Linked DNA regions of Ovis aries. The protein of the gene in region 1 purifies or fractionates together with the protein of each later gene. This does not show direct contact. Links are inferred from orthologs where the notes say so. Each region holds a gene or a part of one and is shown on either strand. Other genes may lie near its edges. The genes, in order: SBF2 and MTMR1.

Region 1 (4,394 bases):
CTTGACTGAGAAATTCCATGGACAGAGGAGCCTGGCGGGCTATTGTACATGGAGTAGTAAAGTGTCGGACACAACTGAACATGCATACACACAATCTTCATTAGGGTCAAGATTACGAAAATCAAGAGAAGATGAGGGAATCATTTCAGATTGAAGAAGTCATGAAGCATACGGCCAAAAATGTACTGAAAGTAAATGAGAACTTAATGAAATTCATCACCATCAAGTATGCAAGCAATAAACTCCTGAATATCAGTATGATTCCTCAGCTGAGCTCCAAAGCTAGCTATCCAAGAGCTTGCCTCACCTGTGATGAGATGGCCCTATGGCAAATAAATGCAATATATGATTCTGAACCAGATTCTTTTGCCAGTAAAGAGACGGCATAATCAACAAAACTTGAACCAGTACTGAAACAGGAGGGGCGGGGGCAGGGCATAAACTTTAACAGAATGATACAGCCTGAGGACACGACAATTAGATTAGAACCAAATAGGTCCAAGATGGCGAACAAGCTGACTTCCACTACACCTTGAGCTTCAGTATAACGCTCACTGTAACACATCAGCAAGCTAAGTGACATACCTTCCAGCGCCATGACAGGTTTGAAGCCAGCCACCAAAGACCAAAAAGTGAGCAATGGCCCGATTCCTGGAAATTTCCACCCCTTCCCCAAAACAATAATCCTCCTACTCATTAGCCTATGAAATTATCCAGCCCATAAAAACTAACCAAGCCATAATTCAAGGCTGTTCTCTTCGGAAATGGTCCACGCTCTGCTTGTGGAGTATGTTGTTCACTCACTAAGTCGGGTTTGATTCTTTTTACCCCAATGGACTGCAGCAATGCCTCCGCTATCTCCCAGAGTTTGCCCAAGTTCATGTCCAATTGAGTCTGTGATGCTATCTAACCAACTCATCCTCTGCCACCACATTCTCCTTTCACCTTCAATCTTTCCCAGCATCAGGGTCTTATCCAATGAACTGCCTCTTCTATCAGGTGACCAAAGTATTGGAGCTTCAGCATCAGTCCTTACAATAAATATTCAGGGTTGGTTGTGGAGTGTTTCTCTCCAAATAAACCCACTTATCTATCAATTTGTCTCTCACTGAATTCTTTCTGTGATGACACATCAAGAACCTGAGCTTCATTAGTCCTGAAACCAGGTGTGTGTGATCACAGTTAACAGATGGTGGGTTTTCACTGGGTTCCAGTTTCGCAGGTGGGCTCAAGTCCCAATCTGAGATACACTGTTTCAATCTGAGAGCTACATGAAGTACTTTGTCAGTGTAAATTTCCTGATTTTTGATGATTGCACTCTGATCATGCAGGGGAATATCCTTGTTTGTAGAAAATACACAACCTCGGGTGATAGGGAAGGCATCATGTCAGCACTTCCTAATGGTTCAGGGAGGAAAAGGTTCTTTGTACCATACTTGCAAGTTTTCTGCAAGTTTTTGATTGTTTCCATTTTTTCTAAGTGAGAAAAAACTCAAAGTCACTAAAAATGAAACAATGTTAAATACAAACTCTGCTTCTCCATATTGTCAACCTTGGCAAGAAAGAGAGAGCAGACTATGCAAAATTACTAGGAAATAAATAAAACTTTGTGTAGCCCGAAAATATTTTAAATATAGCCCAACCCTTCTCTTGCTAATCTCAATCAGGTCAAGAATAATTAAAGACTATAAAAAGTCCCCACTAAAGGAAGTTATTAGGAGAGGAATAGTGAAAGGGGCAGTCCACCAAGAGTGGGAAGAACAATGGTATTCTGAAGCTACAAACGGCTGTAACCATCAGCAAAACACAACCTCAGCATCTCCTCTGAAAAAGGAAGGGCTGTCTAGCTGAGACGTTAAATTTCTTGTAAATTACCCTGAAGTTACCCTGAAATAGATGTGCTTCCCCAATTCGTTACCTTATGCTTAGCTACACAGTAATACAAAAGGAATACAAAAATAAACGTGTATAAACGGTGAATTATCTTAAACTGTGGAAATCTCTCCATTAAAATACATCCGCCAGATTGTTACCTAAGAGGATAATTCTGCGACGAATGAAAAGACTAATTAAAACACTCATTAAAGTGAAACAGGATCACCTGCAGCGATGTGCTGACGGTCCTTACTTAAAAGATCGTATTCAGACTCCTTTTGAAATGACCGTCAGATTTGTCCTGAAAGAACAAGGAGCATTTCCTAGAAATGTTCATAAGTTCAAGGCTCACTTGCCCTCTCTCGGTACCATGAGTCCACGGGCGCGGTGACTAGACGGGCCCCCACCAGCTCAGGGGTGAGGTAGCACTGGACTCTCAGCACTTCCTTTCGGAGAGGACAGCCCCCTGCGTCATGCGTTACTCACTCAGGATGCTAGGCAGAAGTTTATCCCCGAGGAACTTAGCACAGTTGGCTCCCGCCCTCCCAGCCCTGAAGCCCTGACCCAAGCCCGTCGGCACCGGGGCGATGCCCCTGGTACCCGGCCCTCGTCAGAGCGAGAGCCACGGCACCCAGTCGCCTCAGCCGGGCCGCCCGGGGCCCGGAGGACGAGGCCGCCTCCTCCTCGTCCTCCGCCGCCCCTCGTGCCGGCCCCTCACGCCCACCGCGAGGCTCAGCCGGGCCATGAAGGCCCGACGCCGAGTGCCAGCTCCACCGGGGCCGGGACCGGCCCTCCCCGCCTCCCGGCCGCGATGCCCAGCCCAGAGAAGCCCACTGGACGGCAGCCGGGGGGCGGGGGCAGGGAGGCCCGGGGGCGGCGCCCGCCCCACACCCTTACCTGGCTTCTCGTGGTCGTAGCCGACTACGATGAAGTAGTCGGCCAGCCTGGCCATGGCCTCCGCCGCCGCGCCCGAGAAGCAGGTGCCCGTCGCCGCCCTCGCCGCCGCCGCCCACCGGGCCCGGGAGGGCTCAGCATTTTCCCTGCAGCAGCAGTAGCGGCAGCGGCGGCCCTTCAGCCATGTTTGACAACCGAGGCGCGCTCTGCGCCTGCGCCGCTCTTAGCGCCCGCTGCTTCCCCGCCCCCACCCGCGCTGCCTCATTGACCCAAGCCCGGGCGGAGAGCCCACCCCCACCCTCCCCGGCCGCTCGGACAGCGGATCTTGGGAGTAGGCAGCCTAGTGTATTCCTACTGTCACAGCAGCCTCTCGGGGTGCTTCACTTTGAGGCCCGGCTGCCCCTCCGCGGCCCACCTCCCGCCCCCCTGTTTTTCCTAAAGCAGGGTGTCTTTCCTTCCGTCCTTTCCACTCTTTCTTTCTGGGTCTGGGAAGAAGAGACAGGGATAGATGAGGGGGTCTCCTGGAAAGTTTGCTGCTTCCCCTCCCCACCCCAACCTTCAACGGCCCCTCCACCCGGTCACCCGCCTTCCCAAGACAAGATTCTCCCGCCCTCGACTGGAAGCCTGGAATTTGCACCGCCAGGGCTTTTGCTGCACGTTTCCTGTTTATGTTGTGCAGATGGGAATTTTAGGAACATGCCACCGAGCAGGCGGAGGAGGGAGAGGCTTTTGCGCAATCCTCGGAGGCGCCTCGTGCTTTAGTGCTGGGTGGGCTGGGGGCTGTTGGCCTGGGCTTCCCCCAGAGCGCCTGGGGAGGCTGAATTCCTCCAAAGAATGCGGCATCCCCGGGATCCTCCTGAACTGGCCCGGAACAACCGAGTCCGAGGGAGAAGGCTTGTCTCTCCCCAAAGAGTTCTTCCCGCCTAGGTTTTCGCCCCCTGCAGCGGTCCCAGTGCTCTTGCTGCAGAAGCAGGTGGTGAATTCAACGTCCCTGTTCAAACAATGCAATGAAAATGAATTCGTGTGTATCATCATCCAATCTAGGAATTATATAGGTCACTTTCTTGTTACTGCACCTCTTATTGTTTGGAATTCGGCAAGTGAGAAACCCAGGTGAGCATGCTTTGCCCTCTCTTAGTATCTCATGAAGTTTTGGTAGCAGGATATGTTACAAGGGAAGTTTGGGAAATCTTCATAGTTTGCAAATGTGATCATCATCCTAGTTGCTTATCACTACTCATTATTAATTGAGGGTTTAACCTTTACCATTTACTCTTAGCAGAGGGTCTTTTAAGTATGTTTGATGAGTGAATATACAAATTCCCCCAGCTACCAGCAGAAAGCTGCAGTGGGTCGAACACTGAATTGAAAGTTCAGAGATTTGGTGTCTCGGCTACTGAAAGTTTACTCTCATTGATCATTTCCTCTTTCTGTGTGTGTGGCACTTTTTTCACCTACAGATGGAGAGGGTTGGGCTGCACTAGAACTGAAACTCCTTGAATACTTGAACTCAGGGAGTTCATTTGCAAATTGCTTATGGTCAAACTGAATCAACCTAGTTGCAGATGTGGAGGGAAGATAGCAGATAGGTCTTGAAAATAATTAAACTAAAATGCTTTAGTCAC
Region 2 (3,811 bases), on another chromosome or scaffold:
ACAACACCTGGTGTAGATTTCAGTAAGGTCTCCATGGCTGCTGTGCGGATGACAGACCGGAAGGGGAAGGAGTTGAATCAGAGAGTCTAGCAGGTGGGAGGCTGTTGCAGTCGTCAGAATGAGAGAGGATGGTGGCTTCGAGTGGAGCCGCGGGCTGGAGGAAAGGAGAAGTGGTCAAGCTTAACATATCATCTGAAGGACATCTGCAGGGTAGAGCCAGCAGGGTTTGCTGCAGGGTGGCAATTGTCTAGGAGAAGGGGAGAATTGAGGACAGTTCCAGTGTCTTTAGCTTGTGGAAGATGGTGTGGCCGAGATGGAGAAGCCTCTAAGTGGAACAGGGTTAGGAAGTTAGCAGGCACTCACCCTGGATAGAACAGCAATGAGATGTCAGTTGGATGTCCCAGAGCAAATATCAAAGAGGCAGTTGGTTTGTTTAGGCCTGGAGTTCAGAGGTGGTGTCTGGTTTGGAGACCTGAATTTGGGAGTCACTGGCATAGAGGTGGAGCTTAAATTCATGAGGCAGGAGAACCCGGACAAATGATGGGTGTCTCTCTCTGGAAAAGGGAGTTGGAATAGGAGTGGGCAAGGTGCCTTCTCATGATACTTAGCAGGTAAGAGTGACAAGACTTGAGCATTCAGATGTGAGAGTGAAAAGGAGTATGGGCCCCAAGGTAAATGTCAGCCCTGGAGTCTGAGGTCCCTGGGTGAGGTTCTGCTTTTCCCTGGCTTAGGAAACATGAGGGTGGAGGAACAGGTTGCAGGCTGGGTGACTGAGACTAGTTTAGACACGTGGAGCTGGCAGGGGTTCTGGGACTGACTAGTGGAGCTGTCCCATGGGATCCTGGGCCTCTGGATCAAGAGCATCCAGGCTGGAGAAGCAAAGCTGGGGACCCCCAGGCTGCAGCTGGCTATTGTCACCAGGAGCGTGCAGGGAGATTACGCTGTGCAAAGAGCAGAGACAGGAGAGGAAACATGGCCTTCTCAGTCCTGTCCTTGTGCCCAGAGTAGACCCTGGCTCTGCAGGTGTGGCTCAGCCGTGGACTGTGGGCCCTCCTCTCTCTTCTGAATACTGTACTTCTCTAAATGCTGACAAAGCTGTGGGCCTGCGAAAGGATGTGGTTTGCTCAAGCTGGTGACAGAAACAGGACCCGGATCCAGGCCTCCTGTCTACCAGTCCACCATACCACACTGTTAATAACTCTGTTGGCCAGGATGCTTTTGGTTGCAGGGATAAAAACCACAAATCATTCTAGTTCCGGCTGGGAAGGAAATTTCTTGGCTCCATCACTGCTGCGGACAGGGGGAAAGATGGCCACGGGCATGTTACAGCCAGAATTGCAAGCACTGTGGTTGGGGCTCCCCATTCTCTGTTTTTGTTTTTGTTTTTTTCCTTGTCTTACTCTTTATCTCTGTGGGTTCCTCAAGGTGGTGGGGTGGGAGTGGCCTTCAGTAGCACTGAGGCTGGGAACACCTCTGATCCAATGGGAAAGCTTGGGATTGGCCTGGCGACCTGGGTTAGTCCCCTCCAAGTGGGGGCGGGAAGGGAGTGTCCCCTTCCTTCTCCTGCTGATGAAATGGGGAGGGGCAATTTCCTACAGTTCTCAGAGGCATCCTTATCAGAAGGAAGGAGAGAGGATGCTTGGCAGAGGGTAACAGCAGCCCTCCCACCCCCGTGGTGGGTGAACAGGCAGGTTCCTACTGTTAGATTTGCTATCAGGAGTGGGTGCTGACGGAAAAAAGTGTAGTATGCCAAGAGAAGTATGATAGAACTAGGCAATAAAGGTGACTTAGCCTTTAAAAGGAAACCAATCTCCCTCCTTTCCCCCTCCTCCTTTCTCTTAAGTTATTAAATGTGGGAAATAGGCTCTTAGAGTATGATAGGAATGTCTGCCCATTCAGTGAATATTCTGACTTATATTTCCAGCCCCGCAGACAACCATTATGCATTACATTTTTAGATTTGATTATAATAAATGCCTATATTTTTTTATTATCTTTTTCTGGGCTGTCTTGGTCAGAGAATATAATTTAGATCACTGGTAGAGCATGCCAAGTGTCTTTATTTTACTATTTAGGTGATTTTACACACTGCCTAGGGATTCCAGATTTTTCTGTCCTTCCAATACACAAGTGTGGATTTCATTAGTGATGAGATTTTCAAAGGTCTGAAACATTCTTCGCAGTGAAAGCTACCTGTGAGATAAACTCTCATAAGTATCTTATGCCCTTTAACTTGATTTCTTCTGTGCTTTCGTGAGTTGAGAGAGGAGCCTGGCCTCTGGAGGCCATTTTTAATTCCCTCAGTGCCTAGATTGCTGACATGGTCCTTTAAGTCAGGTGAGAAGAGCCTGACCACTTACCAACCACGGGACCTTGGTCAAACACTAGAGCCTTAGTTTTCTCCTCTGTAGGGTGGGTCACTGTGAGGCTCGGGTGAGGCCATGTGCAGAAATGTGTTGGACACTTGAGAGCAGCCTGCAAGTGGGAGATGCCGTCTTCTCTGCATTGTTGTGTTCTTGTATAAGGCAGTGGCGGGCATCTGTGGCACTGGCCTGGGTTTTTGCCCTCTGGCTCCATGAGTTGGTCATTACTGGTGGTATTGCATCCTGGAAGGACAGCCCCAGTGGAGCTGGAGGCAGGCCTACCACTTTCTGATGGGCCTTGTCACTTCTGCACCTCAATTTTCTCATCTCAAACCTGTCGGCTCGTCCCTGTTCTGCCTTCTTATCACTTGTGGTTGTCAGACTCTGATATAATAATGGACTGGTAGAGCCTTTTGTAAGTTGTCAAAGCACTTACAGAAATGTAAGGTTGCATTATTACTACACATAGGACATAACTTCTCTAATCTGTTCTTTCTAAAATCCTGCAATCAGCTTTGTTCCATTAACAGTCAATTTGATTCATTTGAAATTAATCTCATTTTATAGATTTAAAGCTACCAACATGAAATTGATTGCACTTGTGAAGAGCATATGCTGTAAGATAAATATTTCATTTTAGAATTAATTTTCTACTTACACTGAGAATATTCACTCTGTATAGTTATAACTGAGTAATATTTCATTAAAGGCTAGAAAATAACATGCTTAACTGTCTGAGGTCTAGAATCTTAACCTTAAAATAAATTAGTTGGTTTATTTCAAATCACCTTGGAACCTACTCTTACTTCCTAGTTGTCAGTCGGTATTTCAGTTCTTATAGTAAATGTAAAGGTAACCAAATAGCCTAATTGAAGTTCGTTTTCGAAAAAAGAAGTGTACATATATCCCTAGTCCGTGCTCATTTTTCTCAGAGCCTATGTCTTAAAATATTTTAATTGCACTATTTCTTTTAGTCCTACAGGATCACATGTTGAATGGTGTAAACAGCTTATAGCTGCTACAATTTCTAGTCAGATTTCAGGTTCAGTGACATCAGAAAATGTATCCAGAGATTACAAGGTAAGCAGAATTGAGTCCTTAATTCATTTTCAATATACTGAGTAGGCAAGAAGCTTTGCAAATTTAATTCAAATAAGACTTTGGCCCCCTGATGCTCACTGGCCATTTGCTTGGGAACAAGGGTGAAATGTCCTCTGTTGTTAGATCTGAACTTTAGAAGAGACATTTTTACCAGGATCAAGTATATGTGATCATAGTTTCATAACCAAGAGGAAAAGTTGACTTGATTATGATCATTCTTTTGAAAATCCAGTTCCACTTTATTATCTTATTATATATTTTATTATGTATTACATTTTTAGATTTGATTATAATAAATGCCTATATTTTTATTAGTATTCTGAATTTCAGAAAACATCTGATAGGAT

Evidence for each region.
Region 2: the proteins of SBF2 (region 1) and MTMR1 purify together in Homo sapiens (affinity purification with mass spectrometry; 3 studies listed by BioGRID and IntAct, with this or other methods). This does not show direct contact. The link is inferred for Ovis aries from reciprocal best matches to the Homo sapiens genes SBF2 and MTMR1.

Annotation. Positions count from the first base shown.
Region 1 is NC_056068.1:42,097,652-42,102,045, reverse strand, and holds the start of SBF2 (myotubularin-related protein 13), read right to left. Parts: upstream 2,966-4,394; 5' UTR 2,828-2,965; coding exon 2,773-2,827; intron 2,177-2,772; exon of another isoform or gene 2,102-2,176; intron 1-2,101. UniProt on the Homo sapiens protein: Guanine nucleotide exchange factor (GEF) which activates RAB21 and possibly RAB28. Promotes the exchange of GDP to GTP, converting inactive GDP-bound Rab proteins into their active GTP-bound form.
Region 2 is NC_056080.1:84,850,511-84,854,321, reverse strand, and holds part of MTMR1 (myotubularin-related protein 1), read left to right. Parts: intron 1-3,337; coding exon 3,338-3,443; intron 3,444-3,811. UniProt on the Homo sapiens protein: Lipid phosphatase that specifically dephosphorylates the D-3 position of phosphatidylinositol 3-phosphate, generating phosphatidylinositol. Could also dephosphorylate phosphatidylinositol 3,5-bisphosphate to produce phosphatidylinositol 5-phosphate.